7 linked regions of the Rattus norvegicus genome follow. The protein of the gene in region 7 interacts with the protein of the main gene of each other region in a biochemical or structural test. Links are inferred from orthologs where the notes say so. Each region holds a gene or a part of one and is shown on either strand. Other genes may lie near its edges.

Region 1 (3,500 bases), on a different chromosome or scaffold from region 7:
ACACTCAAATACTTGCTTGTCCTATTAGCTTTGAATGCTCTGTGCCAGGCAAAGAACTTTGGAGCATGGGTAGGGTTCCTGAGAACAGTTGGTGAATAGAGATGGGGTGGGATGGGCACTGCTCCCACAGGCAACACTGGGCTGAGGATACTAGCAGTGCTACATCTTCCAGATTGCTGAAGAGCAAGTGAAGAACAGGCTTTATTGCACTTTCTCATTCTTAGGAAACAGGTTGCCCTGCAGAGTCTCTTGATTTGCAGAAAACACTGCACATCAATGATAAGTTTCAGGCATAATCACAGGTCACCTCTGCTCTCATGGGAAGGAAAACTAAGTCCACCAGCTAGGCTGTTTCACGGGCAGTTTATGTACTGGTATCCTTGGACTAGATGGACTGTCTGGCCAGGTCACTGTTTGGCAGGCAGAATAGCTAACTGGCAGGTGCCTTGGGAATGTTCTGCACCCACAAGAACTGGGGCAAACTTTCCCAACAGGGAAACTTCTTGACCAACACATAAGCTCCACAAAGAGGCTAGAGCCATGATGCTCAACTGCAATATGCCTGACTCCTTTTTTCCAACTCTGGGTTCAGACCACCCAGAGGGGCAGAGATGCTGAGCTGATCTGGGAGGATCCCTGGATCGTGCTCCATAGCATCAAACTGGAGATAACAAAAGGATGTAAGGGGTTGGAAAACAAAAGACCAGTTTACATCAGACATTGATTTTTGAAAGTCTTTTTGAGCTCAGGAAACTGGAGGCAGATACCATGCAGAAAAGCCAGCCCGGTTGTCTGTCCATTGGTCTATCCTGAGCAGTTGTGAACATTTCATATATAAATGGGATGGTACCGTTTATGGTTGATCTTTTTCCTACAAGTTGGGCAAGTGTTAGCATTCTTAAGGGAATCACGGAGGCACTGGCTACAGAAGACGTGGCCACATTCTGTAGAAACAATGAGACGCCCATTCTGCACAATCTAGAAGACATTAAAAGAACAGCCTTTAATAAAGATTTAAAAAAACAAAAAAAAACAAAAAACCAGCCTTAAAGTATCCCCTTTTCTACAAGGAGACCAGTAAAACAAAGGAGCTGGGTTATACCAGAAAAGGCAGAGGCATATACAACAGTCTCATTGGACAGGACTTCGCCAAGTGCAGTAGTACAAAGTGATTATGAGGAACCTCAAAAAAAAGCCAGCAGCGGGGTTGGGGATTTGGCTCAGCGGTAGAGCGCTTGCTTAGCAAGCACAAGGCCCTGTTCGGCCCCCAGCTCCGAAGAAAAAAAAAAAAAAAAAGCCAGCAGCTTCTAGTTAAAGCTGGAGTGGAAACATCAATTTGCACAAGGGCTAAAGATAAAATGTGCCACCACCACCGACACATACACTTGCAAATTAGCCTCATGACAGGTATCAAATTCCACACAATGCACAAATCCTCCAAGTTCTTTTGAGTGAAGTAGGTTGCTTACCTCAGAGTATCCATCCATGCAGATCGGACAACTGACGGTGCCCGAGGGCCTAAAATCACAATGCTTTGCATCAGTTTCTAAGTAAAGTACTCAATTATACCCTGTAAAGCAACTTCAAATACACAGTCTATATCTTCTACCAAATCTCTCATTTTTGCTGAGTTAGGACAGGCACCCAAAAAACAAAGGTAAAGTAACTGTAGGTTTGGGCTCCAACGGCCATTGAAAAAGGGAATGAGAGAAGGTCTAAATAAAAGATGTGGTTAAGTAGGCTTGCCCACCTCTTTTACTTCCAGCACTGTTGCTAGTGGCACCTGTAACACCTTATAGCCACCCCCATCTGTGACAACCTGGTAACTGTGGATACGTCTGGCTCCTGCTCTATCTACCAACTGTCTATCCTGAGCAGACAGCTGAGCCCAACCCTGTATTCCCAATGTGCTCACCTGCTTGGAAGATTGTGCTCTGGAGCAAGAGCTAACATACCTGTTTGCATATGCAGTAACCCTGGCCTCTACCCAACACAGTAACACAGAGCACTTTACCTAAGTCCAGTAGTTCCTTCATCCTTGGTGCTTCGAGGAGTATGGGTAGTCACGTATACATCTTTGTCCTTAGACAGTTCTTCATCATCACTGCTCACCACACAGCTGTCAGCATGGTCTTGGCGCAACCTCCTCCCATTTCTCCTTGGCCTTCTCCTTTCTAAGGAAAAAGTCACATTTTCAGCCACCTTCACCTAATCCCATTTACTCTTATGCCTCTGAAGACCTTCTCTCCCCTTGAGCTCTCCAGAGAGAAACTGCTACATAGTAGCTCTGCCCTCAGGTCCTATCAAGGCATAGAGGCCCATCATCACTTGCCTTCTTAGAATAAAGCTCAGCCCCTGGTAGCATGGCAGAGATTGTCAGTAAAACAGCAAGTCTGACCAAAGGCATCTTCCTGCCGAAAGGTCTTGGAAGGACAGCCTGCAATGCTATGGCATTTATTCATAACAACCCAGAGAAAAAAGAAATTAAACCAGCTTACCTTCAACAATCTGAAGATGGAGGGCAGGGGAGGGAAAAAGAGAAGAGTGTGTTATAAACATTCTGACATTTTCTCTGATAAAACACACCTTGCATCTAGTATATATGTATGGCTTCCCAGTGCTCCCTTACTCCCAGGGAAGGGAGATGATGTACGTGTACTTCTACAGACCACCTATAGACATCTCCAGGTCAGTGCATCTGTGAGTCAACATGCCTCTCTGAGAATAATCAGCAAAGCTCATTGCTACCAACAGACAATAACAGCCTTTGGAGAAGGATTTGTGCTATTAACATCATAAAAGATCAATTAGGTATTATCGTGAGTCAGCCTTTTGTTAACAAGAACTAGACAAACACTTGTTAGGTAGCTCAGAACACACATTAATGTAGCCAAAGATGATCTTGGTTTCAGACCCAACTTTGCCTTTCACCAAGTGCTGGATTTGAGGTGTGTACCACCACATTCAGTTTTTACACTGACAATTTCTACCAATTCAACTCAGATTACTGCCACATTCTAGAAAAGGAGAACATTCAAGTCATGGGAGGAATGGCTGTAAGTTTTTCCTTTTCACCATACAGGATGCAGCACTTCTGAAAAGCACAAAACATGAGTCCCCTAGTGTCCATCCAACCCTGTGTCACTCCGTCATACCCTTCATCTGGACTCCTTTGCAGCAAAACTGTTGGCCTTAACTGGCTGTGGTGGTGCAAGGCTTCTTAATACTTTTAACACTACCACTTAGGAGGCAGAGGCAAGTGGATAGGAGTTCAAGGCCAGTCTGGTCTATATACCAAGTTCCAAGGCAGCCAGGACTACAGAGAAACCCTGTCTCAAAGTCCCAAGGTCAGTTCCCACCTTCCACATTTTATCTGAAGGACTCAGCTCAGAGAAAGGTAGCCCACACCACCGTCTCCTTAAGCCCAAAGATTCTAGTACAGGGGTGAACTCTGCTGCCTGCTCTTCAGTCTAGAGCAGCACATATAAAAGCTCACCTGG
Region 2 (4,598 bases), on a different chromosome or scaffold from region 7:
CCCAGGGCCTTGCACTTACCACTGAGCTAAAATCCCCAACCCTGCCCTTACCTTTTTGATAATCATGAGTAGGAATCTGTTTCAGTTGCTCTTTGGTAAGTCTGTTCCGTTGAAGCCGTTTCCGGTGCTGGATGCAACGAACTATCTAGGGGTAAGGAAAAGTGGACCAGGCTTAAGAAATAACTGGAAAATCCAATAAGACCTCCCATCTACAGATCCAGTCTGACCTTCTAAGTTCTTTCCTTAGGTACTTACCAATACTGTTCCCATGGCCAAAACCAGCAGTCCTACAATCCCAGTGAAAGGAATGAGGTAATAGCCCAAGGGGAAGCTATTGTCTGGGACCAGAAGCACCCGAGCCCTGAGGAAAAAAAGACAGTCTCAAGCCAGGCAAACTAAGGTTACTGGCTTGGGACAAGGCATAAATGAGAAAATCAAAACAGATGAGGAAGACCCTGAACCTGAGTGGATAGGGCAGTGAAGTTGGGTTCCAGACTGGCATGGAACCCAAAAGAAGACGGAAGAAAGCATATGTCCTACCCCTTCTCGTAGACAAAAAGAGCTCGTAAGTACTCTGCACTTCTCTCTCCGATAAATACAGATGGGATCCAGATCTGTTGTTGGATTTCCTCTGTAGGGAGCAGGAGATTAGGGATTTAACCTTCCATTCCTCAATCCCCTGAAACTGGCTTTAGGCACATTTTGCAGGTCTCAACCAACTGCCCTGTAGGTCTTTAGCCCTCCCACTGAACTATATGGAGAGACCCAGCAGTACAGACTTCTTCATCCTCACCACTATTCCACACCATGTTTAGAAGTTCATTGGAATTCACGTTGTGTACCACAGCTGCACCATACCCAGCTTTCTGAGCATTTAGGACCTAAAAAGACAAAGCAGGACAGAGTTGCAAACCTTGCCTTTCTTCATTCCTGGTGTCATTTTACCCTGCTTACTACCACCCGTTCCCCATTCAGCAACCTTGAGGTCAAAGTTGCAGTCGAATCTTCGAAGCAGTGCAATAAAGACTGACCCATTGACTGGGGCTGAGGGTGGTGGGGCAATAGGACTGCAGGCATTTTCTGGGTGGGCCTCCACAAGGAACCCCTGAGGGATAAAGGCAAACAGATTTTTCCATCTTTTAGTATTCTGTCTTCCACAGGACCTACTAAACATAACAGTACACATACTACCTGTATTCGGCAACTCTACCATTACTCATTCTTGTGGTCCCACCCAAATCAGAATCTACAACTCAGGTAGACATGGTGATACATGCATTTAATCCCAGCACGTGGGAGTGCAATGAGTTGGGAGGCCAGCCTGACCTGCACGGTCGGTGAGTTAGGGACAGCCAGAGTTAGAGTCCAGTCTCAAAAAAACAGAAAAGATCTCTTAGCTTCCTGAAGATGCAATTACAGTAAACAACATCCCTTTACCCAGAGGCTCCCTTGACTTCTCAAGGCTAGTTTAGTTCTGCTTTTAAGTTTCCCAGGGACAGTGATTCAGCTTGCTACTTATTTGACTTTCACAGCATATTCAATTGCTTCGTTTTCCAATTAGCCATCTTACAACTCTACTGCTGTGGCAGTAGTTATGTGGCAAGAACTTCGTAATGAACTCTACAGACATGCTTATCTCACTAGTTAGCACAATAGCCCTAAACTAATTTCTATTACTTGTTTTCCAATAAAAGACTGTCCACAGCCATCCATGCAGATAGTAAGTAGCTCCAGAGACATGGCTGATAAGCACCTGTTCCTTATCTTAACCTGTTCTCAGACTTCCTCTTAAATTTGGAAATTCTAGGGGCTGGAGATGGCTCAGTGGTTAATAGCACTGGCTGTTCTTCTAAAGGACTTGAGTTCAGTTCCTAGCACCCATGTGGCATGGCAGCTCACAACTGAGTGTAACTCCCAGTTTCAGGGGATCTGACACCCTCACACCTAAGTACATAAAGTAAAAAAATACCTGGGAGTTCTAGGGGTGGACATTGTCTTTTATCTCTAGATTCTGGACTCTGGGCTGGACACGATCATGCACATGTTTTTTCGGGGGAGGGGAGGGTTGCTGGAGATTCAACCTAGAATCTCACTCATACTAGGAAAAGCACCCTATCACTGAACTGTATCCCACAGTCCAATGTATTCCACTGCTATCTCAACCATTTCCTACCTCCTGAGCACGGATACTTAACCCCTGCCCAGGATACACGTAGGGAAATGAGGAAAGCATCACCTGGAGTCCCTCATCGCTCAGAGTGGCCCCAAATAGAGCTGGAAGGTCTGCAAAGTCCATGCTGGCATTGTGCTCCGAAGTCTGCAGATAAAACAGTACATTTTCCAGTCTGAAACCCATTCTCAACACCCTTTCCCCATCCGACCCTCAGACTCACCGCTCGAATAAGCCCTCGGATAGGGGCTGCTCCCCACAGCACAGTAGCCACAACAACAGGGAGCGGGAAGGCCGCAGGGTGCATGGCAGCAGGAGGGGTAAAGCTGGGAAGGTCGCGTCCTGATAGCAGGAGCAGAAGCCAAGTCCTGCGCCTTCTCTGCCTCTCCTTCAGGATCCCAGGGGTCCAACCACCCCTAGGTCCCACTTCTCAGCTACATGGGGGCGTCGGGGAAGGAACTCCGATTCGGGAAGTGAGCTATCAAACCAGCTTAGTGGAGGTGGAAAGGGAGACAATGTATCTTTCTCTGGTACAGAAGTAGAACAGAATAGGAACGAAGGCAAACAGGTAACAAAAAATAACTTCTGGGTGGGAGAAATCTCAAGGAGGTGGGACTTCCGGCCAGGTAGGCCTTCTTCCTATGCCCCTGGAAAAGGATTTCCGGTAAGAAAGGCCGCTTCCAGTATTGGACGCTCAGGACGGAGGACTTCCGGTCCAAAAAGGCCGGTTGAAAGAAATGTTCGACACGTAGAGCGTGCCTGCGGAGATGAAGGGAGCTCCGGTGCTCAGCAAACGATCTAATTTTTTTCCCTTAGTCCCTGAGATCTTGGAGCTACCTGTTTACAAACCTCTCCTTCTTCTGGCCGCCGCGATACGTTCAAGTATCGCGAGAATGCTCACCAGCCTCTTACCCCCTCCTTCGCCGCTGGAAATTACCGCGAGAGGCCTCATAGCTCGAACTCGACTGACTCACTTGCTCTCGCGATATTTTCAAACAAACTATTTTTCCCGCGATTCCAATTCTGGGGGGCGGGAGCTACAGGGTAGCTTCCTAAATCGGCCACGCCCCTTCGCCTTGCATCTTAGCCCCGCCTTATTCCCGGCTGCCTTTGCGCTACGAGCCTGCGCCCGCCCTAGCTTCCAGCTGGAGCCAGATTTGCCTGTCGGAGGGGCGTGCGCGCGCGCGCCCTCCCCCTGTTGCGCGCTGGTGTCACCTTGGGCGCGAGCGGGGCTGTGCGTGCACGGGACCCAAAGCCGAGGGCCATCAAGGGACGATGGCGGCGACGGCGAGTCCCGGGGCTGGCCGGATGGACGGGAAACCCCGTACCTCCCCTAAGTCTGTCAAGTTCCTGTTTGGGGGCCTGGCTGGGTAAGCTCAGGCCCCAGGATTGGGGAAAAAGGAGGAAGGGATGGGAGCAAGCAACTGGGCCCAGTGCAACTTGGGAGTATGTTGCAGTAAATTGAGCCGGTGCGGGGTCCCTGATGGGTTGCTAAGATCTATTCACCCATTGCAGGGGCCCAACTGGGCTGTATTCAAGGGTCATTGCCCCGTGTTTCCACCACCATTGCTTCACTGTGCCTGTTTGGGTTGTGGGTCGAGGCCACTAAAGGCTTTATCATAGGACACCTTTTCCACCCTTCCTTAGACTTCCTGTAGTCCTAATTCTGCTTGAACCTTAAAGAACTGCCCGAAGTATTTTGATTTGCGTGGTCTTTACTGGGCAACTGGACTTTTTCTGGCACATTTCCCTTGATGCACACACTTAAACACATTCCCACCAGCCTCCTGAATCCTTAGTTGCATGTCAGTCCCTGACCTTTGTAACTTCTTGCTGCCAGGTTACAGTAGAGCTGGAACAGCTGACCTCTGATTTCTTCCCTGTCTTACTTAAGGATGGGCGCTACCGTTTTTGTGCAGCCCCTGGACCTGGTGAAGAACCGGATGCAGTTGAGTGGTGAAGGCGCCAAGACTCGAGAGTACAAAACCAGTTTCCATGCCCTCACTAGCATCCTGAAGGCAGAAGGGCTGAGGGGCATTTACACTGGGTACTGTGGCCTCAAGTTGGGGAGGGAGGTTGCTGGTTGGCAGGTTCAGACCTTGGCCGGATGTGCTGACATTTCTACTCCACAGGTTGTCAGCCGGCCTACTGCGCCAGGCCACCTACACCACTACACGTCTTGGTATATATACAGTGTTGTTTGAGCGCCTGACTGGGGCTGACGGTACACCCCCTGGCTTTCTCCTGAAAGCCCTGATTGGCATGACTGCAGGTGCAACTGGTGCATTTGTGGGAACACCAGCTGAGGTGGCCCTCATCAGGATGACTGCTGATGGCCGGTGAGTTCCACGGCTAAGCTGAACTCCAGCCCCATTCCTGGAATCTAGGATGATTTCCTTGTTGTCGTTTGTCTTTGTCTACATCAGGG
Region 3 (4,155 bases), on a different chromosome or scaffold from region 7:
TGCAGGAACTTACTTGGTCTTTAACTCTTTAATTTTTCTTCTTGTCAAGCCCAGCTCAAAGCTCCAAACATTCCCAACCCACTCTTTTCTCTGACAGAATTCCTTCAAATCTCAGTCTAAATATCCATAAACTACATAATGAGTTATAGCTTTTATGTACTGCCAAGAGTACTGTATTTCCCTACCCACAATGCAAAATAATTACCAGACTTGAAACTCTCTGATAGACTGTGGACACCAGTCCATGTGCAGTGTCCAGTGTAGTGCTAGCACGCTGTAACTGTGCGGTATTTACTAGAAGATGCAAAGATGAGAATGAAAAAGGCTGAGAAGACAAAGAGGGAAGAAAAGAATCCATACGTGTTCCGTGTGAGCCATTCCAATTCCATCTTCCACTATTTGTTCTCCTCCTTCAATGTGCTGAACAATCCCAACTAATTTTCTGGAATAATCTGAGATCTCCTCAGTGAAGGTTCGTATGCAGTGAGCCATGTCTAAAATTGACGCTCGGATCTGGTTAGCTTCTGGCTCCAGTACTGAGTGCTATACATACAACACAATTGTAGGAAGGAGTTCACAAAGGTGTATAGTGATTTACAAAAACTACTTAAAACCCTTTTAATGTAAATGAACATCTGTCACAGTAGCTTTCAAACAAGTACAGTGTAAGAAGACAAAAAATACAAATTTATTTTCACTTCTTTTTAAGAGGCAGACTACAGAGAAATCAGAATTTGGAAGTTCAAGTATTGTTCATGGTTTCTATACAAGAAATCAAGAGATTGTCCAAATCATAAGAGTTATCAATAGATACATTGTCAGAGCAGTACAGTGTATTATAAACACATGCACATAAAGATGAGATTTTCTGTATCCTGCTAGAAATAATCACAAAGTCTCTCTGAAATACCATTCTGAAATTAAAATTCTCAACTCTTTCCACATTACTGATACTAACTCATTAGTCACTTAGCTGTCTTCAAAAGTTAAAGTTTGTTTCTGTCTTTGAATAAGCAAACAGGCCAACGAAAGCTGGTGACATAACTCGTCACCCGACGGAATGCAGTGCGTACCTTGTGACCCTGGTGTTTTCCATATTCTTTGCAGACACAGCACATGAGAGGACTAGTTTGACAAGCTTCTTCCAAGCAAACAAACTCAATGGCATGTACCTGGTGCTGACAGCACATGGTCTTCTCATGAGGTTTATCAGCTAGAGGCACTCGCCTATGCTTGGCCAGTGTCTTTGTAGAATGTGTGACTTGAGAACACTCTGAGCACAAGTGAGTCGCACACACAGTGCAGTACACAGATGCAACGTGAGCTTCATCTTCATCACAGCGAATGATACTCTAATAAATAAAAATTAATGCCTTAAAACTGAACCACTCATTAACGCATGGCAAATTTTGAACTACAAAACCCCACAATCTTTTCTACTTAACTTACCAGGCTCACATATGATATTAATAAAGGAAATTTGTTAAGTCAATCATTCCAAATAGAAACAAAGAACTAAGAAACTGAATGAAGAAAACCAAAGTAAACAAAGCAAATGATCTTCAAAATATGTGGCTTCTAGAGTCAAATGGAGTTCTGGACATTAATCCATGATGCAATAACACATTACAAAACAGAAGGAGGGCACAGAGAACAACTAGCCACAGTTTACTCAACGCATCAGCTGGATACAGCTTAGCTAGTTGGTCATGGGAGTTCTTCAACCACCCAAAGTCCAACTTCCTCGATTAACTAAACTAAGCTTAAACTCTGTATTGGTTTGGTCTGTTGGGCCCAGAACAAGCATTCAGTAAACATCTATGGCCTCACACAAATTTTATTAAATAACGAAAATATACTGGTAAGTATAAAGGTCATGTGCCACCTATCCACTAAAAATTATTAAGTAATAAGCTATTTCTGAGACTAATTATCAACACAGGATATTATTTGAAGCAAAAGTAAATTTATTCTCATGAATACCCTTTTCCCCCCAAGTGCTGAGGGTTGAACCAGAACCTTATAAATGCCAGACAAATGGGCTGCCATTGAACTACATACAAAGACATCTCATAGAGTCAAAAGGCAAAGACCTCTTCCATTAAATTTTCAGAAGCAGAACCACAGAAACATGATTCTTAAAGACGGACTTAAATTCCCAATGCTTTAGTTACCTGCCGTGACTATGCAAAGAAAGAAAATCAGCACTATGCTGCATCAATAACCTGATAGTAAGGTACTGAATTAGCTTGAAAACACAAGACGCCCTGCCTTAAGATGGGCTACAGCTCCATAGGTGGATGGATTTCTACAATCATGACTAAAACCACAGATTTAGAAAAGAACTAATAAGCCCTTTATGTCAGCTGCTAAATATTATTTTTAACTTTAAGTATCACAAAGCATTTTATTTGTTTGTGGTCCAGGTACTTAAACCCAGGGTTTCTTCCGTAGTAATGAAGTACTCTGCACTGAACCATACCAAAGTCTTTCTAAAAGGCATTGACGTGTATAAAATAACTTCTAGATAATAAGGAATGCTTTGCAAGCTTCCATATAATATTAAAAAGCTGTAACTGGCAAAGGAAACATTTGTTTATTCTTCCAGAAATAATAGATAATACACAAATGATATCATTTATTATCAAAGTAAATCTTAATGCAAAGATTGAAACAATTTACTTTGCAATAATAATGTGTATTTGTAGCATAAAATTCTCATATCGTTTTCTAGACCTTATAAATAATTTATGAGATCAACAGTACATAATATTCTAATGTTTTTAAAATAAAGATAGAAGATATAATATATGAAAGACTTGTAGAAATTTTATACAGGAGTAATGCTTCAATTCAGAAATCATTTTTCCAATTCATTATAAATAGAAAGAAATCACCAAAGGGAAGTTACAATTAATCTGTTGGAGTTTTTTCTTCTTAAATCAAATACTCAGTTTTTAAAGTCCAAAACTAACACTATTAACAGTTATTCACTACAAATATTCTTCTATACACAGATCTTTCCTTTGTTAAATAAGCTGTGCAAACAACTGTTAAAATGCTACCTATGTGTTGTCACTTGTTGTTGGCAATACCTACCAGATATCTGCTTGTCGGGATAGCATACATCAATCATACCATTTAACTTTTTTCTTACTGTTTTGAAAATATTTAATAGCAGCAACTTCCTCAGCCTTCACTGTTACATTTAAACTAGCTCTCCTCTAACCTGAATGGTCTCTCCTAACGTTTGTTTATCCTTTCTTGAACTGTGCTGTTGAGGCTCAGCTTTAAACTTTCTGTACTAATGTAGATTAAACATTTCTCTTATTCTCTTATAATGTTCTACCTTAAAGGTTTTTCCTCACACATAACTAAATTGTGGGAGGGAAGAGTTTCTCATAAAGTAGATTAGACAAAGAACTTCAACAAATTTAATTGTTTTATTTTTGAGAACAGTAGCTACTTTAGAATTGTAATGTCATAAAAACTTGTGTTCCTAAATTCTCACAGATACAGCAAATAAGGTAATATTGTACAAATATTGGAAAACATTTTAGGATTACAAAAGCATCTTGAAGTAAATATTTCAACAAGGTCCATGAGTACCTCTCCAGATATCCCAAGGGCTTCTTCTGCAGCTCCATACTGACCAATATGTCCATTTTGCAAACGTTCTAAAAGCTCCAGTAAAGCAAAATTTTTTTTCAAACCCCAGACACCTGAATCTCCTAGAACAAATATGAAAACAAAAGTAAATGTAACAAAATGGAAGTTTAGTCAATTTACACATACCTTAAGATTTCTAACACACATAGTTTAGTCATTAATAATGTCTAAACGTTGCCAGGAAAAGGGCTTGTTAACGTTAACAAAGAACTTCTCACCTTTACAAGTAGACACATACCTTACAAACTTTTTATTTCACTTTTACTATATAAACTAAAACAAGTATTTCAATATTTTTCAAATATTTCTTTACAGCTACCTACAGTAAGAAATACATTTTACATCACAATCCAGGAATAAACACACTTGTGTGAGTGCACACACACACAAACACAAACACATGTACGCACATACATACAGACCAGAAAAAATAAAGTTCAACAAACTAGGGGCTAGGGAAATGACTCAGTCAGAGTCAGAGTTCGG
Region 4 (4,862 bases), on a different chromosome or scaffold from region 7:
TTTATCCACTGGGCCATCTTCCTGGCCCTTTGTTTGTTTGTTTGTTTGTTTGTTTGTTTTGTTTTCCTAATTTGTAAGACAGATCTGTATATGGGTATCTTACCCTTTGCTGTAATGAAATGGGCTCATCATCCTGTTTTTCCTTTTAATTTCTATAGTTATAAGCACATGTTAATAAGTAATAGGGATTAAATATAGACATATGTTTTATTATATCATCATTTCATTCTTTAAATGTCTAAAACCTGCAATGTAACGACAAAAAATATTTAGTAATTCTTTGTTACGAATACATCAATTGTCTACAAATACACCAATCAATCACTTTCCAACCAAATTGAGTACATTTTAATCTTGTTAAAAATAATTATGAACCACTTATTTTTAAAATGCTAAAATAAGTTATTTACTTACTCACTTTCTAGGAGGTGTACCAAACAGATCTCAGAAAGTTTACAGTTCATTTAGTTTGTATGCTAGCCTAGCATTTAGAAGTCTTGATTAAATCTGATATATTTAGAAAATATTGGGAAAAATGAAATACTATACATTTAACACACATTTGTTAAATAATACTAATATTTACGTATTTTTATATTTTATATTTATATGTAAGTATATTATATTTATATAATAAACTTGTAACTAAGTTTATCTTACTTTAGGTATTATATCAAAGCCTTGGAACTATATATTTGACTGTAGCAGTTTGTAGAAAATGCTTTCCTTTTGACATGATTAGTAGAACTAATTGCTTTTAAATTGTCCTACCAATCAGAGATAATTTGCCATAAAAAGTATCTGAATACCTTCTTTGTTATGTTTGCGATGTTATTCCTCAGTGGCTAAGAGTTCCGATGAGTGAGTGAGTGATTTGCTGTATGGGGAGAGGACAGATGTGTGGACGGAGGGTGAGTAGGTGCAGGGTAGGAGATGGGAGGTGGAGCGTGGAAGGTAGAAGATGTATAGATGAACAGATGATGGGTGGAAGGATGTACAGTAGACGATCGAGAGCGAGGATAGGGGAAGAGAAAGGATGGGTACACGAAAGAGGGTGGAAGGTGGAGCAAAGGCAGGCTAGGTAAGGAAAGGAACTTTGCCAAGAGTTTTGCTTCCTGGATAAAATATCACAATTATTTATTATTATTATTATTATTATTATTATTATTATTATTATTATTATTAACAGTAGCCTTAGTTCTGGTCTGTCTGAGACTGTCTGAAGATGATAGTGGTAATTCACTGATCCCCTGTTTTTCTGTTTGAATTCAGAATAACCCAACCCAAATAACACAAAATAGTCTGAGAGAAAATGACTCTCTCTAATGCCAATCTTAACCTTACTGTAAAGGTAAAGAACTCTGCTGTAGGCTATTGAGACTTCTCCATAACTAACAGTATAAATTGTTCTCTTGGTCAACCTGCAGTGGTGCACACAGACACCAGACAAGAGGGAGAGGTCTCTGAACATACCAACCATGAACATGGTTTTAGGCATACTGGATTTATTGGGAGGGTACATGAGCCTTTGGAGGTGGAAGAGCTACTCTCTCTCCTTCGTCCTCTGTGGCCAGGGCTAACAGTTCAGTGTAAAAGTTAAGCTTGCAAAAGCAAGAGATTGGGAGCCCTGGGATGCCTGTTTCTGCCCTCCTTGTAAATAGTAAGCAAGCCCCTCTTCCTCTTTACTCATCTTGTAGGTGGGAATAGTAAATGCTGTCCCAATTATCTCGCCATGCTCCTGTGAAGATTAACTGAGATAATGTCCGTACAAGCACTTCGAAAATAGAAAGCTGTATCTGAGCCAAAGATAGCGCTATCAGGACACCACCATCACTTGAGATCAATTGCTAGGCACTCCACAGCATAGTGCATGGAACTCCGGGAGAAGAAATGGCTACAGTTATCCAAACATCAGTACTGCATATTCGACGTGGAAACACAATTACTTCTAAGACATGGTGGGATTCTAGTAAAAGTAAATAATGATTAAAATTTACAGAATTGTACTTTCCTTGTATTAATTTCTTTAATTATCATGACCACTGTATGAAGTAATTACTATTATTATTTCCTACTTGACTTAAGATTGATGGAAGGAGAGTAACTGTGAACCACAGTTACAGAGGTCACAAGGAGGGCAGAGGTAAATGTCAAGTCCAGGAAGCAGTTCCTGAGGCCAGGATTACAGCCATGGCATCGGCCTCTTGTTAGATACATTCTTAATTGCATTCCCTACCTCCCATTCTTCATCTCTCATAGTGCTAGTCAGAGATTAAGGAAGGAAATGGAGGAATTCATCCCAGAAATGAGGAAAATTAGAAAGCCAAGGGAGAAAGGGAGGCCAGTGCATAGTCAGGTGGACATAAAGAAGTGTTAGAGCCATGGTGAAATTCTAGGGGCTGCTCTTTCCTGGGACACTAACTCTCTCACCTACCAGAGGGGTTCAGAGTCCTAATCTGTGGTCTGTCTCCAGCCTGGGAAGCTGAGAGCATGAGGAGACATGAATATAGCCACATGAGGTTCAAAGCACTTCTAACTGGACCAGGGAGGAATGGGAAGGCAGGACATGTGACTTACAAGCTCTCTTGAATTTCCAAGTGGTGACAACACATAAAGGTTCATTGGATATCAGCTAATCAAACCCTAGTATATCTCCTACTCTCCACTCATTTTCGCCTCCTGTATATCTGCTCTCAGCAAATGCTATCCTGTCCACAGGCACTGTCCTCTGCACAGACGCTGCCCTCTCCACAGATGTTGCCCTCTTTGCAGACACTGTCCTCTCCACATTCTCTGTTCTCTTGTCAGACACTGTCCTCTCCACAGACACTGCCCTCTCCACACACACTGTCCTCTCCACAGACTCTGCCCTCCTCACAGACACTGTCCTCTCCACATTCTCTGTTCTCTTGTCAGACACTGTCCTCTCCACAGACACTGCCCTCTCCACACACACTGTCCTCTCCACAGACTCTGCCCTCCTCACAGACACTGTCCTCTCCACATTCTCTGTTCTCTTGTCAGACACTGTCCTCTCAACAGACACTGTCCTCTCCACACACACTATCCTCTCCACACACGCTGTCCTCTCCACAGACATTGTCCTCTCCACAGACTCTGCCTTCCCCACAGATTCTGTCCTCCCCACATACTCTGTCCTCTTTACAGATACTGACCTCTCCTCAGATGCTGTCCTCTCCACAGTCTCTGTCCTCTCCATAGTCTCTGTCAGAGAGGACCTCAGATCCCTTGGAGGTGGAGTTGGGGACTTTTTGAGATGTCCCATGTGTACTAGGATTTGAACTCTGATCTTCTGTAAAAGTAGCCATTTACCCCCGAGCCATCTCCTTAGGTCTTGTCTCCAGTGTTATTTTTAATAACTTAATCATTATTACGGATGTACTGTTTGTTCATTTTTACTGAGGTCCTATCTTTATTTGTATTTCCTCACCTTTTTCTGTCTTTGTATTTTCCCATCTCTCATCTGGAATAACACACTGTGTTTAATTATTGCATCCCCTTGGGTTCTTCTAGACTCAGATCATATTTCAGACATGTGTTGCTTTAGTGACCTTGAGGTTTTGAGTTGTGACCAGGCATTTTTGCAATGCTTATCAGCCGTTTTTTATCTGATGTTCTTCTTGGAGATTAGACTGGGGTTGTAGGATTTCAGGTGGGAGCCCACAGAAGAATGGGCCATTCTCAGTGTCCCCTTTCCTGCTGGCCTCCTCACCAAGGAGTGTTTGTCAGGCACCCCCACTGTGGAGGACCTCTGGTTCTCCATGCACATAGGAAGTTACTGTGCATATATGCTCTGCACCTTTGGACAGTTATCCTCTGACTGAGCTTCTGTCAGGTTCCCTTCTACCTTCACGCTAGAGGGGTTCACCACAAGGTGAGTGGCAGAATTTGTGCACTCCTTTTCTGGCTCTTTTCCTTCCAGGATTGCCTTTCTCCTCAGAAGCAAATCCCTCAGGTCTCAGCCTCTTGCTTCACTTAAGACAGCACTGAGGCTTTGCTTACAGGAAGGCTCCCAAGGATAACCACTCTGATACAGTCTATAGTCAATTGAAAGTCTGTATTCCAGTCAACTGGAACTACTCTCAGGCATTTGGGACCCAATTGTAACCCGAGTATGTGTGTCCAGAACACTGGATTTTTGAAGCTTCAGTTGGGTTTCACCAGAGGAGGCAGTTTAACAGATGCTAAGATAAACTCCCTAGGGCACCTTGACCTTGGGGTCCTAGAACATGTTTTGGTAATTTTCCATGGATTGTCCATCAAGGAGATCAAATTCCAATTAAACCTGAAATGCCCTCATCAAGACCAGAAGATACAGGAACCTCTGCACTGTCTTGCCCCGTCACAAATAAAGTAACGAATTTGCAATTCACTAATCTAAGATTATAAAATACTATATGTAAATATTCATGGATACTGCACATGTATATAAATACATATGTGTATTTACTTTATAATTATTCCTTAGGCCAGGATATCACAAATTCTGATACATTCTATATATAATATTACAATAGTATAGCTATGTTCTGACATATAGTAGATTTGCTCTTCATAGCCAGGGACCTAGAGCCTGTGAGCAGATGCCCCTCTGTTCCTTTGTTTAAGATTCCCATGCTTGGGCCATCATGTGACTCAACATGGCATTGGGCCCCTCTTTCACTTAGAAAATAAAACTTTCTATCTCTTAGTCTGAAAATCTTAACTTCCTAGTGGATTCCTGCCCCACATTGGGCGCCACCTACAGCAGTATATTAAAAAAAAATTGCACAAACGGTTCCCATGAGTTCCTACTCTAAGCAGATTTGTGCGCTCTTGCTGTTTTTCTGTCAGCCACTTTC
Region 5 (4,684 bases), on a different chromosome or scaffold from region 7:
TCAAAATACTTAAATGCATCACGGGGCGACATCAGGTAGGTGGACTACAGCAAGCTAGGGAAATTTCTTGTATCTTTTCCAGATGTTATAACATTCTCAGCTTTAGAACTATTGGAAGCTAGTGGTCTTCCACTTTAAGGATACATTCCAACAGTTTTACCTAATAATCGCAAGTCAGAGTCAAAGGTTGGTAATAAGTGCCCATTCAGAGAACTAAAGATAGCTCAAGATAAACTTGATTAAGTGTGTATACCAGGTTTCTATCCTTTCACATTTGAAGTTCTAGGCATTTGGTCAGTCCATAGGATTGCCAGCACAGATAAAATTTCTTCAGAGAACTTCGAGTCACATGTTCTCTGAGCAGGTCTTGGGAGTTCTGGGTGGCTGGATTGGCTCAGGGCTCTAGAATTATCTGAGATAACAACACTGTACTCAGGGTAAAATTGTGTGAGAACTCCTGCATCGCCCAGAAGAGAGTCCAGTTGGAGAATGACTAGCCTGGTTCAGAGTTCCATCTAAACTGATGTCCTGTGGATATAGAACCTTGGACAAGTTGGGGATGGGGGGGGGGTAAATTTGCTTTTCCCATCTTTCTGAGTTCTAGTAATTCATCAAAACAACCCATAATTTTATTTCGAGATAAAGAAACGGAAAAATAAAACAAGGTTAAGAATGCTTCTCAGAAATTAAATCCAGGTTCTGGCAGGTAGAAACTGGTTACTTTGGTCTTTGACCCCTAGGTCTCAGTTTCTTTACCCAAAGTCTGTAGTTTGTAGGCAAGTGTTTAAAGATATTACTGGTTTTGTTTGTTGTCTTATCATCAGTGCAGAGGGTACTCAGCTTGGTGGAATTTCAAATATGAGAGCCTAGTATTTCAGATTCCTTCATATTCCCAACTAGTACTGTGTGTTCATCAGGTTCAAGAGCAGGTATTACCAGTCCCCATCAGGACCTGACCAGTCACTGGGCCACAGAACTGACCATCTGATAAGACTGAATGCAGGCTTTTCCTTGTTTTCTCCCTTTGCTATCCGCCTCCATGCTGTGAGGCAAAGAAAACCTCTTTCCTAAGTGCTGTGTATTCTGTGACTCCACTATGGGATGTGTCACAGGCAGAAAGACCTAGCCTGGGGACCTGCTGCTCTTTGAAGGGAGTGTGCTCGTCTTCCCTACATAAGATTAAAAGAGGCGTCTCTCTGTAAGGTGCCAGAACTTTCTGGAGACTACTACTGAGGGATTAGCATTGACTAACCCTGTTTAGACTCTGAAATAGCGCAGAAAGCTGGATCACACGCTGCAATGGCCTAGGTTTCTGAAGCCATCCCTACCCATTTAGCTGGGCCGCAGGCGCTGGGCCGTGGGCCTACAAGCCCCAGCATGCCTCGGGAGGCGGGGCAAGTTGACAGACAGGCGATTCTACAAATTGGCTATTGCCGTGGGATGTACGCGCTAGCGCATGCGCAGGAGGCAGCGGGCGGGTGGGCTGGCAGCGGTGGACTCGCGTCGGAGCCGCGGGCGGTCAGGTAGGGGGCGGGAAGGAGGGTCTGCGATCAGGGACTGTGGTGGGTCGCGGGGCTCCAAGATTGAATGGCAGAATTTGGGGACTGGATCTGAGTGGCAGGACCGGGTTGGGGAGGGACGGGCTCAGGAGCGATTCGGCGGGGCTGAGATGCAGCTGGGGGAGGGGAGCAAAGGGGCTGAGGAAATTTGCAGTTGCAGCATGTCGGGAGAGAGGTATGAGGTAATGTGGGGGCCATGCGGAGAGACGGGGTGCAGCATGTGTAAGATGCGAGGACCTGAAGTGCCTGGAGGTATCTGGGTGCATACTATCAGAAGCAGAAAGGAATTTGGCAGGCCTGGATGAGATTGGGTGTTGGCGGGCAGAATCTTAAGGGCTTTGAGGAGATCGGTGTAATGGTAGCAAGATCCGAGATCAAAACAGCCAGAGTCTTGGAAGATCCTAAATGCTGAAGAGAAAGGGATTTCTGTAGCGGAATCTGGGAAAGATTGAGGGGTGAGTTCCCAAGGGAATCAGTACCCAGTTAGCAAATCGCAGCAAAGGTTTGAAGGCAACACGTGAGGCAGGACGGGGGCGGGGGTGGGGAGGTTGGAGGTGGCACAGTACAAGATGGGGAATGCAGATGAGGGAAAAGGTTGAAGGAGGCAGAGTCTAAGGTACAGGATTGGAGTTTGGAGCTGCCATACGTGGGTGATAGGAGTGGAAGTTTGAAAATAGATGAAAGGATGTAGGGAGTTTGAAAATAGATGAAAGGATGTACCAGAGGGATGTGGGACACATAAGAGCTATTGGTGAGTTGCAGGGTTGCAACATACACAGTCTAAGAGGTTGAATTCTAGATTTGGGATTTATTGTTGAGAATGGGGTTTGTAAAGGATTGAATGGTGGGGAGTGAATGTTGTAACTAGATTGTACAATTCAAAACCAGGTGAAATTTCTGAGACCACTAAAGGAGGTGTTTGTTTGTTTGTTTGTTTTGTTTCTTGATTTCTGCATAATTGAACCCAGAGGGTGTTCTGAAGACCCAGGGACCTGAAAGTAATTTATAAATAAACTATGCATGAATGAATGGAATTTAGGAGAATGTAGGGGTTTGGAAATAAAGACACTGGTCTTCAGAAATCCTGAAGGAGAGTTTGACATTCTCTGAAGGGCAGAGTCTTCCTCACTTGCTAACTAAAGGCCCTTTAATCCTGAGGCAGACAGGTATTCTCACTAAATCCACTCTGACCACCCCAACTTCCCCACCACAGACTCAACATTATAGGCCTTGGGGAAGAACAATAAACTACCTAGGGGCTTTGCTACTTATCCCTTTCTCTGTACCCCTAAGCCCTCAAAGGTATAAGCCAAAATTATCTTAGATCTGACATCATTTTATAGAAGGTCTATTATAGCACAAAGAGGCAGTGATTCTATGAATGAAGTATTAGAATTGGGCGAGAAACAAAACAGGGTTGGAGCAAGGGAGAGCCTCACATGTACTGAGTATTTAGACTGTATCATTACCTAAAACCATAGTTCTCAGATAGGGTGGTTTTGTTCTGCCAGGAAACATTTGACCATGTCTGGATGGAGGCATTGTCAGTTGTCATAATTGAGGGGTTGTGGGGGTCTACTGATTTCTAGTGAACAACCCCCACAATAAACTGTCACCTAGCCAGAAATGCCAATCATGCCACAAATGAGGGACCTAGCAAGAGAGTCAAGAATTCTGGGTCCAAATCCTGGCTTTTTCTCTTCCTGCTTTGAAATCTTAAGACTTATTTGACCTCTCAATGCACAAGTTTGACCTCTCAATGCACAAGCTCTTCAGAGACCTGCATCCTAGGATTGCTGTACGGACTCAGTGAAATAAATCGGGGTACTTACTGTCTAGTGCCTAGTAAGTGTTAAGAATTTACTACTCTCAAAGATCTATGTGTACTTTCTTCTCATGGCAGTCCTTCTAAATATACTTTCTATGTCCAGTGTGACACATGAAACTAAGGCTTAGGAGATCACTTGTGTAAAGCCACATCACCAAAACTGGCAGAAGTAAACTGCCGTGTAAATTGCCACCACAGAATCTCCCCTCTTGCTTCTTTGCTGCAGTCGTCTTGGTCCTCCCTTTTCAGACTTTCCTAATGAAAAGGAGGCTTGCCCCATATTCAAAAGTGGGGTGACTTTTCTTGATCAGCAGAAGCCCTGGACTTTGTTCTTGCTTTGCTCTTAGACCAGAACCAGTGGGGAGATAGTGCAAGGAGTTTGGAGCTACGAAGCTGAGATAAGAAGACTCTGGCCCAAGGACAGTGCTAGACTGAAGGAGACTGCTCTGAATACCCTCCTTTGTGTATTTTGGTCTCAGGAACAGAAAGGTAGCATTGTCTTTATCAACTCCAAACCTAGCTACATTACAGGAGGCAATTTCCTAGTTAAAATCAGACTGGAGCTGAGGGCAGAACACTTGACTGTGATATCCACACAGATCACTTCTGGAAACACATGATGGAGCAGGTTCAGTTAGCCTTGGAATCAGGTGTTTTACTGCTTGTTTGGTGGTCAAGCACTAGTCAGCCTCTGTCTATAAACAGAGTGAACTCCACTGAGTGCTGACTAGTGTACATTCTCTCCATAAAGCTCACAATGTAAATGTTGCTCTTGATTCCATAAGGTGGGAAGTTAATAGGTAAGTTGCATGACATATCCTGGGCTTCAGAGCCTATGGCTAAGTGGGCATGTGAATCAGAAGTCACAAGTTGGCAAGCCTCCTAAAGTATGCCCCTCCGTATGCAGATGGTGTTACATTTTGAAGACTTCTTCCATTGTGCCTTTCTGATAGGACAGTATGGTTTAAAAGTCATTCCTGGATGAATTTACCCACCTGTTAGCCATATCTTGCCTGCAGGTAACAGTAGTCATATCCTCTATGAAAGTACATGTTTCAAGTGGGCCCTGTTGTGGCATAGTTCACATGTGGGCATCTGAGGGATGACGCTACTACAGTCCATGGTGGTAGAACCTGGACAGGTTACTTTTTTCTGAGTGTTAATTAGGATGTGGACTAACACTTCCTTCACAGAGTTAAGAGAACACATGTGATGTGTAGAAGGTGCCTGGCACTCACTACCCCAGGTGGCAGTTAGAAGATATGGTTTTAGCTATTAGCAGGCATCATAAGTGCCC
Region 6 (3,325 bases), on a different chromosome or scaffold from region 7:
TTTTATAAACCTATTTTAATCCATGATTTTAAAAACCACATTCTTCTGAGGGAAGCTTTAAAAGCTGTCTTGCAGAGCAATTGCTCAGTGCCTTTTCTGTGCACTGTAACACACTCTGTCAAGAATAGGGTAATAGCTCTTCTCTCTTGCTCTCACTCTTCCTCTTCTTGTGCCCCCTTGGTCCCTGTCCCTTCTCTCTCCATTCTCCCCTTTCCCCCAACATGCTCATGGCTGGCCTTTCCTCTCTTCTTCTACTCTTCTTCTCTCATTAAACCTTTCCATATTGGGGGCTTGGGGGGAAGGTAATGATTCTCTGTAGCCAAGAACGGGTGTTGGGAATTTCTGGTGACATAGCTGAGAATGCTTCAAAGGGAAATAATTAAGCCAAAAGAAGATATTATGTCCATCTTGTTGCTGTGTACAGTGGTTGTCTTAGTTTGGGTTTTATTGCTGTGAAGAGACACCATGACCACAGCAACTACTATAAAGAAGTTGCCTGTAAACACTTCTTGGTGCTACCTACAGTTTCAGAGGTTTAGTACATATTGTGGAGGGAAGCAGGCAGACATGGTGCTGGAGAAGGAGCTAAGATGTCAACATCTTGATCTGCAGGCATCAGGAGACTGCCACACTGGGTGGAGCTTGAGCATAGGAGACCTAGGAGGTCTCAAAGCTTGCTCCATAGTGACACACGTCCTCCAACAAAGCCACACCTACTCCAACAAGAAGCTCACTCTTCAAGTGAAGATTTGAATACTGAAGTACTGGTACCATCTATGGGTGGAGAAGTGGAACCATAGTGTAAAAGGAACTGTCTTTGTAACCCACTAGTCATTTTAATGAACTGTTTTATGTTTTTGTTACAGAGGGTAGGTGGCAAGAAAAACAGGCAAGAAGTCAAAGGTGAGGTATCTTTGGAAAATTTAATTGGACCATATTTTCTTTCTTTGCTGAAAACATCATATATCCGTAGACATTATGGGTTCCATAGCTTACAGAGGGGTAGTGGTTTTCCCACAGTTATACACTGTACCCAAATTTCTATAGAAAGATAAGACATTTCCAATCTTGCTTTTGAGTATTTCCTAAGAGATGCTCTAAAGGTTCCTCACAATGGCAAGTAATGCAAAGTAAGGCGTCAGTTCTCCCCCTCGCATGCTTAGTGCAATGGAGGAATAGGAAGGAAGACTAGTTATGTCAGTGCTAGTACCCTGGGGGTTGCTGTTGGGTCCTCTGAGGTGCACCCATGGCACTGAAGTGCTGACGCACCCCTGCACTGAGGAACCTGAGATGGGTAAATACTGGGCAGCTTGTCACAGCCAAGCATGACTGTCACAGCGGAGGGGACTTGGAGTTATCTGGTTCTTCCTGGTGCTCCCAGGGCTACTGGCCTTCACATGTAGCAAAGAAGCCAGGGCTAGAGCCTCACCAGTGGTCTCCCACTTGGCACTACAGTACTGCAGGTTCACTTCCATGTGCCTTGCAATGTATGCACTCAAAGTAAAGTTAAAAGTGCCTTTACCAATTCCTATGTCAGACTACTAGAATGAAAATAAAAGCATTTGATTTGATGAAAACAGCTCCCTGGTGAGATACCCAGGTAGTGGGCAGCTGTCATGATGTTTGCCTATGCACAAATTTAATTCTGTCATTTACACAGCATTCTCATTTCTCAAACTTGTTTCATTAGCTTAAAAAAATTAGGATAAGGCAACCAAATATAAGTAATTCGGGTTGCTGAAAACATCTGGAACATCAGCCTTCATCTTCTCGAGTGTTAAGAGCCCATGATTAAAATGTAATCAACGAGGTTCTTAACAAGAGGCAATGCAGCTACTCTCGATAAATGCACCTCTAGTAAACACAGGGCCCCCTCATAAATATAAAATTAAATTCTTTTGAGGAATAGTTTTCTGACTTTAATATTTGGGATTTATACTTATTCTTTATATTTTATAGTAAAAATGTATGGTCTTGGTTTCTTTATATTCATACACAAATGACCTCCTCAGCAGGCTCACATCCGGATGGCAGGTTGGGGTATTCGGCCTCTCTCAGAGGGACGGCGGCCACTTAGCACGCCTTAGAATCCCTGCAAAAACTCCTGCAGCTGGGTGACAATCTCTGTGTCCACCGTCTCCATGAGGGACTGGAAGCCTTGCTCCCCCAGGATCTCCTGCTGTGCTTTGAGCTTCTCATAGATGAACTGCTGCAGAGACACTGTGTGCACAGGGTCCTTCAGGGCCAGCTGTGGGACAGAGGGCAGACAGGGTCAGTAAGACAGACAACCCTACACACGCCTCACTGTGCTCTCTAATCTCTCACAGCGGCACTTCTAAAGACTCTCCTGCGGACAGTTTTTTTGGGCCAAGTGTGTCTCTCTGATGTACCCTGTTTCTCAAGAACTGGGAACACATCCTTTTAAAGTGCTAGAATTTAGCAGAAAGCACCATAAAAGGAAAAGAAACAGGGTACCAAAGCGACTGCCCAACCTCCTAAGGACAGAGACTCCATGACAGCAGCCCCAGGAAGTAAGCACACACTATTTGCTCTAGCTTACACTGCAACACCATTTAATCTGTGCCGATGTTTTTAGGTTGGGGTGAAGTGTCAGATTTTGTTTTTCCCCCAGTCCCATTACAGTATTTTGAAAATCAAAAAAAATTTCAATTTTTAATATTTTTATGCTACTTATGTCCACACTATAAGCTATACATTAGTACTCTTTTTCACCTTCATACTATCACAAAATTCTTTCTTAACACATGTTCAGTATTTTAACGTATGCCATGTTTTTTTAACCTGTTAAACGTATGTAAGACCACAGTGTAGTTTAACAATTTTATCTATAAGTTTGCTGAATACACCACACTGCTTTGTGTTACTGTGTAAGTGGCCTTTCTTTATACATCAGCTTCTTTTCTTTTGTTAGAGCAGGTCTCAGGCAGTCAAGGTTCGCCTCACGTTAGAAGCTGCAGCTCCGGTCTGCCTTGAACTGCTGCTTTCGCCTCTGACACTGGCACTGTAGGCATATGCCACTGTGCTCAGAACTTCACCTTGTTCTCCTAGGAATCTAAAGAACTACTAGAGCATAAAAAAAATTTCTGACTCCTATATGGACTATCAGCATGTTTTCCTTATGGTTTGTACCAATATAAAAGACATAACAGTATTAAGTAGCTAACACTGTGTTGGCACTGATATTATTTAAATGACTTATAACTGTAACAGCAAACAACACAATATAAGCTGAGAATTTATTTCACCATCAGTGACCATGAACATCTATATAACTTTCAATAAAAGCTATGAATGCCTTCCCTGA
Region 7 (4,633 bases):
GTCTAGCTCTGTGTACTTCCTGCTGGAGACCATGCTCCATAGTGAATGAATCCCCTTATTCTGCCCACATAGGTTTCCTTTTCCACCATCTCCTGGTACACATGACCTTTCCAACTTCATTAGGAAGTTCCAAACCAACACATTTCAACCCACCGTCCTAACTTCTCCCTTTCATCCTGTCCTAGACACCCTTTCCACTTTTTGTCTTTCGATGTTGACCTAGCTCTCCTTCAACGCACACAGCCACTGCTGGAACAAGTTCTCTAGGCGTCTAAACCTGCTGCATTCAGCACACTGGCTTGCAGGTAAAGCCGTCACTTGCTGATCCCCAGCTGCCCTTCCTACTTGCCATGTCTCTTTACCAGCTGCTCCCAACTTGTCCCTCGTAGGCCAGGCTGACAAGGAATGGCAGTGGCCGTCCATCTAGTCCCAACGGTTTTCTAAGGGTAGGAACTTCTCCAGTCAACATTCAGTGTCCCCTTTGACAGGAGAAGAAGGTCCAGCTAAAGGCAGCAGGGCTCAGTGCATTATACTTGGCCTCTTCCTACCCTCCAGAGACCTTGAGAAAGGAAGACTGATCCTACCTGGCATAGCCCTGGGATTACAGGCCTGTGCTACCATTCCTGGTGGTGCTTCATGCCTGTTCGGCCAACACCCTCCCATCTGAGCTACCACAGTTTTACACTTTTTGCTTGGTATTTTGCTCATGAGACAGAGTGTCGTGGAACTCTCCCTATAGAACAGGCTGACTGAACTCACAGGACATCTACCTGCCTGTTTCCAAGGGCCGAGCTAATCAAAGGCCTGTACCACTACACCCAGAACTAAGTTTCTAGCCTTCTAAGCATACAAGACAAGCTATATCTATGGAGAAATCTATTTATTTGTGCTATACTGATAAAATGCAAACTACTTTCTATACCTGTCCATTTTCTTCCTAACACAGTCACAAACGCACCGATTTCTAGCTTAATGCAAAAGCCCCACTGACATCACAGCTCATGTCCTGCACTAGGGCAGGACAGGCCAAAGTGAAACAGAGAGCCTAAGAAGACAGAGAGTGACCAAGAAAGGCCATCCAGAGCAAGATGGATGGACTCTAGGCTCAGGGAGATTCTCGGAGGTCATCAAAGACCCTGGAGGGTCTGAGATATAACCAAAAACCAGAGAAACCCAGAGCAGTTTTATCAAAGCATCAACACTGCTCTCGAGACCTGAACACTAACCATTTAAAATGACTGAAGTCACCATATATCAGTCCGGTTAGGTCACTAAGACAGCACACCAAGTTTCTGAATTTCAGGTCAGGGAAAAGGACAGATGAGACTGTCAATCTCTGAGTGCCAGGCTCACTACTCAGCAGAGAGATCCAACGCCATCTAGACCTTCCACTTCATTTAAATTCTTTAGAGAATGCCCTTCCCCACCAGCCCACAGTTTCTGTTCCTTACTATGGCCAACTATCTCAACAAAAAGAGGAGTTATGAAAGGACGTCAGGGAGTTCCCAGGTACCTGCTAGAGACTATTTTAAGGATCACAGGGATCAGAGAATGTGACTTAAGGTCGACAGAGGTAAAGTATATCTACCTGCCTTTTTACACAAAAGACTATCGCTGGCTGAAGTAAGTGACTCACTTCTGTAACCCCAGCAATCAAGAGGCTGAGACAGAAGTTGTGCTGAGTTCAAGGCCAGTTTGGGCCACAAGAGACCCTGTCTAATAAACAAGTCTTCCTGAAAAGTATCAAACTGAAGTTCTTAAACAGAAAAGGAAAAAAAAAAATCTCCCCAAAATACCTGAAATAAAATAAGTTTACAGTCACTCAGTGATTCTTTCACTACCTCAACTCTCCAAACAGGCAGAGGCTCTTCAAATGCCGCCATAAAACATCACGTAAATTTCTTTAACCACTAATGGGAGTTAGTTATTCCTTAAGTAATGTATGGGGGGGGGGGGGAACCCAGTTCAGAAAACACAACCCCTGCAACAGGTGAAGAGGAAGAAAGATGGTCAGAACTCGTCTTGACAGAATTGCCCAGGAAGGTATGCTTAATAATGAAGTATGATGACAGCCTCTAGGAAGTCGTGATTACTAGAACGAGGACTCTGAAATCACATTGCGAGAGTCACTCATAAAAGTAATGAGGATTCTTGAAACTCCCAACAAGAAACGGACGAGGCCAACCACAACTCCTGCTTGTGGACATGGGCTTTAACAAAACCAGAAGCAGCGAGCAGGAGAGAAAACAGGTGGGACTCCCGTGCCCCATTTTCCTGCCTGAGAACGTCGTCGTTGAAGCCTCCCTCCCTGACATGCAGCACGAGGCGACCGGGAAGCTAGATGTCTGTGGAGAAAGGAGTGGGATACCTCTTGGCACTGGTGGAGAGGAGCTTCGAGTTTTTGCTCATGCTGACTTTACTCTCCTTCTTCTTGGGGGTGCTGCCTTCTTTCTCGGTCTGCTGGTTGGAGGACGAAGATGAGGAAGAGCTGGTGCTGGCCCTCGAATCGTCATCCGACATAGCGAACCCCCCACCCCACCCCGCGAACGGCCCCTGCAGGGGGAGGAAACAAAACAGAAACACAGACCATGCAGGCGCTGCAAAGAGGGAACTCCGCTGTCAGGAGGGCGCGGGCCGGGCCGCCCCCGCCGCCCTGCAGAGGCTCCGGGCCCACCGCCGCACCGGCCGAAGAGACGCGGGGGCCGCGATCGCGCGGGGGGTGGCCTGAGGAGGGCCAGGAGCCGTCGCCGCCGTCCCTGAGGCCTCCCGGCGTCCGCTCGAGTTTGGTGAGGTCCGGACGAGCCGAGCAGCCAGAGTGGGTGAGGAAGCCGAGCGTGGGCCGCGTGGGCCGCGGGGACACGGCGCCCGGCCAGGCCCGGCCACGCGGGGCTGCGCTCGCAGGCCGGCGCGCACAATGCGCCCCGGGCGGGCGGGTCCCCGCGGGGACCGGGCCCCGCTGACAGTTCGCGCGGCCCCCGCCGCCCCGGCCCGCCGCCCCATCCCCGCCGCCCGGCCCTGCTGCCTGTGGCCCGGCGGTGCCGTCCGCCCCCGGCCCCGCGGCCCGCTCGCCCGCCCCGGGGGCCCCCCGCACCTCTCTTTGTGTCTGGCTGCTCCGTGCCGCCGCCGCGGCTGCTGCTGCGGCTGCGGCTGGGCCTGGCCACTCGTGTCTCGCTCTCGCTGGGAGAGAAGCGGAAGTGCAGCAACAGCAACTATTAACCAGGCAATGGCTTCCCCGGCCGCACACGCTCCGCGCCACTCCTCCTCTCCGCCCCGCCCCGCGCCCCTCCCCCGCCGCACCTGGGGGCCGCGGCCCCAGAGCCCCGAGCGACCCCGGCGTGGCCTGGGGACCGGGCGCCGGGCGGAGCCGAGGCAGCCGGGCGGGATTGGGAGACGACTGGGCCCGGTGGAAACCGGGGTGACCAGGGGAAGTTCTTCCCAGGAGGGCTTTAGGGAAGGGCTGGGGGGTGAGATGGCCGGAGAAGGGAAAAGGTGGTACTCTCCTGGCGAGGACTTTGACTCCTCCCCAAAAGTGATCCGTTTGTAAAGAAAGGGGGGGAAAATCCCCTAACAGGGTTTTCCTTTGGGCTGACACTTGTTCCTCCCTCTGGCAATTGCGTGCTTGGAGCAGAGGTCACGCCTGTGAGAAAAAACCCAGACGGGTTTCTGTTTAGGACACACCAGGCGTGTGCAATTTTACACTAGATACCCCCCTCCCCCCTGCCCTTCACTTCTTATAGAGAAGAATGTGGACTTTTTTTTTTTTTTTTAATGTATGCGATTGGAGTTCGTGACAGATAACCACGACCCGGCATGGGATTGTAATATCACTGGAAATAAACCATGAGCCGATGATTTTTGACAGGATTTGGAATTCTTAGATTAGATATAATGTCTGAGTCTTAGAAATTGGAAAAAAAAAAAGTTCTAGAAAGCACCCTACTTTCTCTTTACTCCAATATGATGCTATTCAAATAATATTTTTAGAATAGTTACACAGTAATGTCACTAAATTGTTCCTTGTGTGGCACTGTACCGAAGTTTATTTTTAAAAACATCCCACCATTAAATTAGGACTTCGTTTCTTACCTGTTTGTCGTTTACCCTAAAGGGAACAGACCCCTGCCATCCAAGTACAAGGTCCACACACACAAGATCTTGTGTCCTGGGCAGACAACTGCACTCAGATTTCCATGGTCCACTTTAAATGACCTCATTCAAATTGCCTCCCATGGCAACCCTGGCTTCAGTTACCACACAGGATATAAAGAAAGCTCACCGACAGTAGCCAGGAGAGCAGGCATTCTCACTACCCAGCTAAACCCCTTCTAGCTGTCCATCTGAAACTCCAGCTGTGTTAAGATTCATAACGTAATTACACACTTTATTCCACTCAAATCTTCAAGGAAACCTGCATCTAGTAAGAGTTGTCTTCAAATCGTGTGTAAGATTAGTGATAAGACCTCTCCTAGGCCACCATTTGAACCTCCTTCAACAGAAAGAACCCTTCCTCTACTACCCAAAGCAAATGATTTGCCCCGTTTGGGACAGAGTTTCTCTGTGTAGCTCTTGCTGTCCTGGAATTCCAGACCAGGCTGGCCTGGAACTCACAGAGATCCACCTGCCTCTGCTTCTC

What was found.
Region 1: the proteins of Ube2e1 (region 7) and Rnf4 form a complex in vitro, tested with the Homo sapiens proteins (2 studies listed by BioGRID, with this or other methods). The link is inferred for Rattus norvegicus from reciprocal best matches to the Homo sapiens genes UBE2E1 and RNF4.
Region 2: the proteins of Ube2e1 (region 7) and Rnf167 form a complex in vitro, tested with the Homo sapiens proteins (3 studies listed by BioGRID). The link is inferred for Rattus norvegicus from reciprocal best matches to the Homo sapiens genes UBE2E1 and RNF167.
Region 3: the proteins of Ube2e1 (region 7) and Trim23 form a complex in vitro, tested with the Homo sapiens proteins (4 studies listed by BioGRID, with this or other methods). The link is inferred for Rattus norvegicus from reciprocal best matches to the Homo sapiens genes UBE2E1 and TRIM23.
Region 4: the proteins of Ube2e1 (region 7) and Prkn form a complex in vitro, tested with the Homo sapiens proteins (2 studies listed by BioGRID). The link is inferred for Rattus norvegicus from reciprocal best matches to the Homo sapiens genes UBE2E1 and PRKN.
Region 5: the proteins of Ube2e1 (region 7) and Trim32 form a complex in vitro, tested with the Homo sapiens proteins (2 studies listed by BioGRID). The link is inferred for Rattus norvegicus from reciprocal best matches to the Homo sapiens genes UBE2E1 and TRIM32.
Region 6: the proteins of Ube2e1 (region 7) and Ipo11 form a complex in vitro, tested with the Homo sapiens proteins (2 studies listed by BioGRID). The link is inferred for Rattus norvegicus from reciprocal best matches to the Homo sapiens genes UBE2E1 and IPO11.

What each region holds. Positions count from the first base shown.
Region 1 is NC_086032.1:80,627,074-80,630,573, forward strand, and holds the end of Rnf4 (E3 ubiquitin-protein ligase RNF4), read right to left. Parts: exon of another isoform or gene 2,509-3,500; coding exon 2,499-2,508; exon of another isoform or gene 2,175-2,498; coding exon 2,015-2,174; exon of another isoform or gene 1,519-2,014; coding exon 1,470-1,518; exon of another isoform or gene 979-1,469; coding exon 829-978; 3' UTR 721-828; downstream 1-720. UniProt on the Homo sapiens protein: E3 ubiquitin-protein ligase which binds polysumoylated chains covalently attached to proteins and mediates 'Lys-6'-, 'Lys-11'-, 'Lys-48'- and 'Lys-63'-linked polyubiquitination of those substrates and their subsequent targeting to the proteasome for degradation.
Region 2 is NC_086028.1:55,857,745-55,862,342, reverse strand, and holds the start of Rnf167 (E3 ubiquitin-protein ligase RNF167 precursor), read right to left. Parts: upstream 3,090-4,598; 5' UTR 2,478-3,089; coding exon 2,394-2,477; intron 2,318-2,393; coding exon 2,237-2,317; intron 2,214-2,236; exon of another isoform or gene 1,327-2,213; intron 1,106-1,326; coding exon 980-1,105; intron 882-979; coding exon 794-881; intron 632-793; coding exon 541-631; intron 362-540; coding exon 256-361; intron 146-255; coding exon 52-145; intron 1-51. Other genes in the region: Slc25a11 (mitochondrial 2-oxoglutarate/malate carrier protein), read left to right, coding at 3,446-3,540, 4,065-4,217, 4,303-4,509.
Region 3 is NC_086020.1:37,046,096-37,050,250, reverse strand, and holds part of Trim23 (E3 ubiquitin-protein ligase TRIM23), read right to left. Parts: intron 3,732-4,155; coding exon 3,610-3,731; intron 1,353-3,609; coding exon 1,074-1,352; intron 544-1,073; coding exon 361-543; intron 1-360.
Region 4 is NC_086019.1:52,212,581-52,217,442, reverse strand, and holds the start of Prkn (E3 ubiquitin-protein ligase parkin), read left to right. Parts: upstream 1-1,711; 5' UTR 1,712-1,870; coding exon 1,871-1,958; intron 1,959-4,862. UniProt on the Homo sapiens protein: Functions within a multiprotein E3 ubiquitin ligase complex, catalyzing the covalent attachment of ubiquitin moieties onto substrate proteins. Substrates include SYT11 and VDAC1.
Region 5 is NC_086023.1:84,019,166-84,023,849, forward strand, and holds the start of Trim32 (E3 ubiquitin-protein ligase TRIM32), read left to right. Parts: upstream 1-1,466; 5' UTR 1,467-1,523; intron 1,524-4,684. UniProt on the Homo sapiens protein: E3 ubiquitin ligase that plays a role in various biological processes including neural stem cell differentiation, innate immunity, inflammatory resonse and autophagy.
Region 6 is NC_086020.1:39,902,412-39,905,736, forward strand, and holds the end of Ipo11 (importin-11), read right to left. Parts: intron 2,249-3,325; coding exon 2,084-2,248; 3' UTR 905-2,083; downstream 1-904. UniProt on the Homo sapiens protein: Functions in nuclear protein import as nuclear transport receptor. Serves as receptor for nuclear localization signals (NLS) in cargo substrates.
Region 7 is NC_086033.1:9,869,184-9,873,816, reverse strand, and holds the start of Ube2e1 (ubiquitin-conjugating enzyme E2 E1), read right to left. Parts: upstream 3,276-4,633; 5' UTR 3,092-3,275; intron 3,002-3,091; exon of another isoform or gene 3,001-3,001; coding exon of another isoform or gene 2,683-3,000; exon of another isoform or gene 2,591-2,682; coding exon of another isoform or gene 2,588-2,590; intron 2,554-2,587; coding exon of another isoform or gene 2,521-2,553; coding exon 2,369-2,520; intron 1-2,368. UniProt on the Homo sapiens protein: Accepts ubiquitin from the E1 complex and catalyzes its covalent attachment to other proteins. Catalyzes the covalent attachment of ISG15 to other proteins. Mediates the selective degradation of short-lived and abnormal proteins.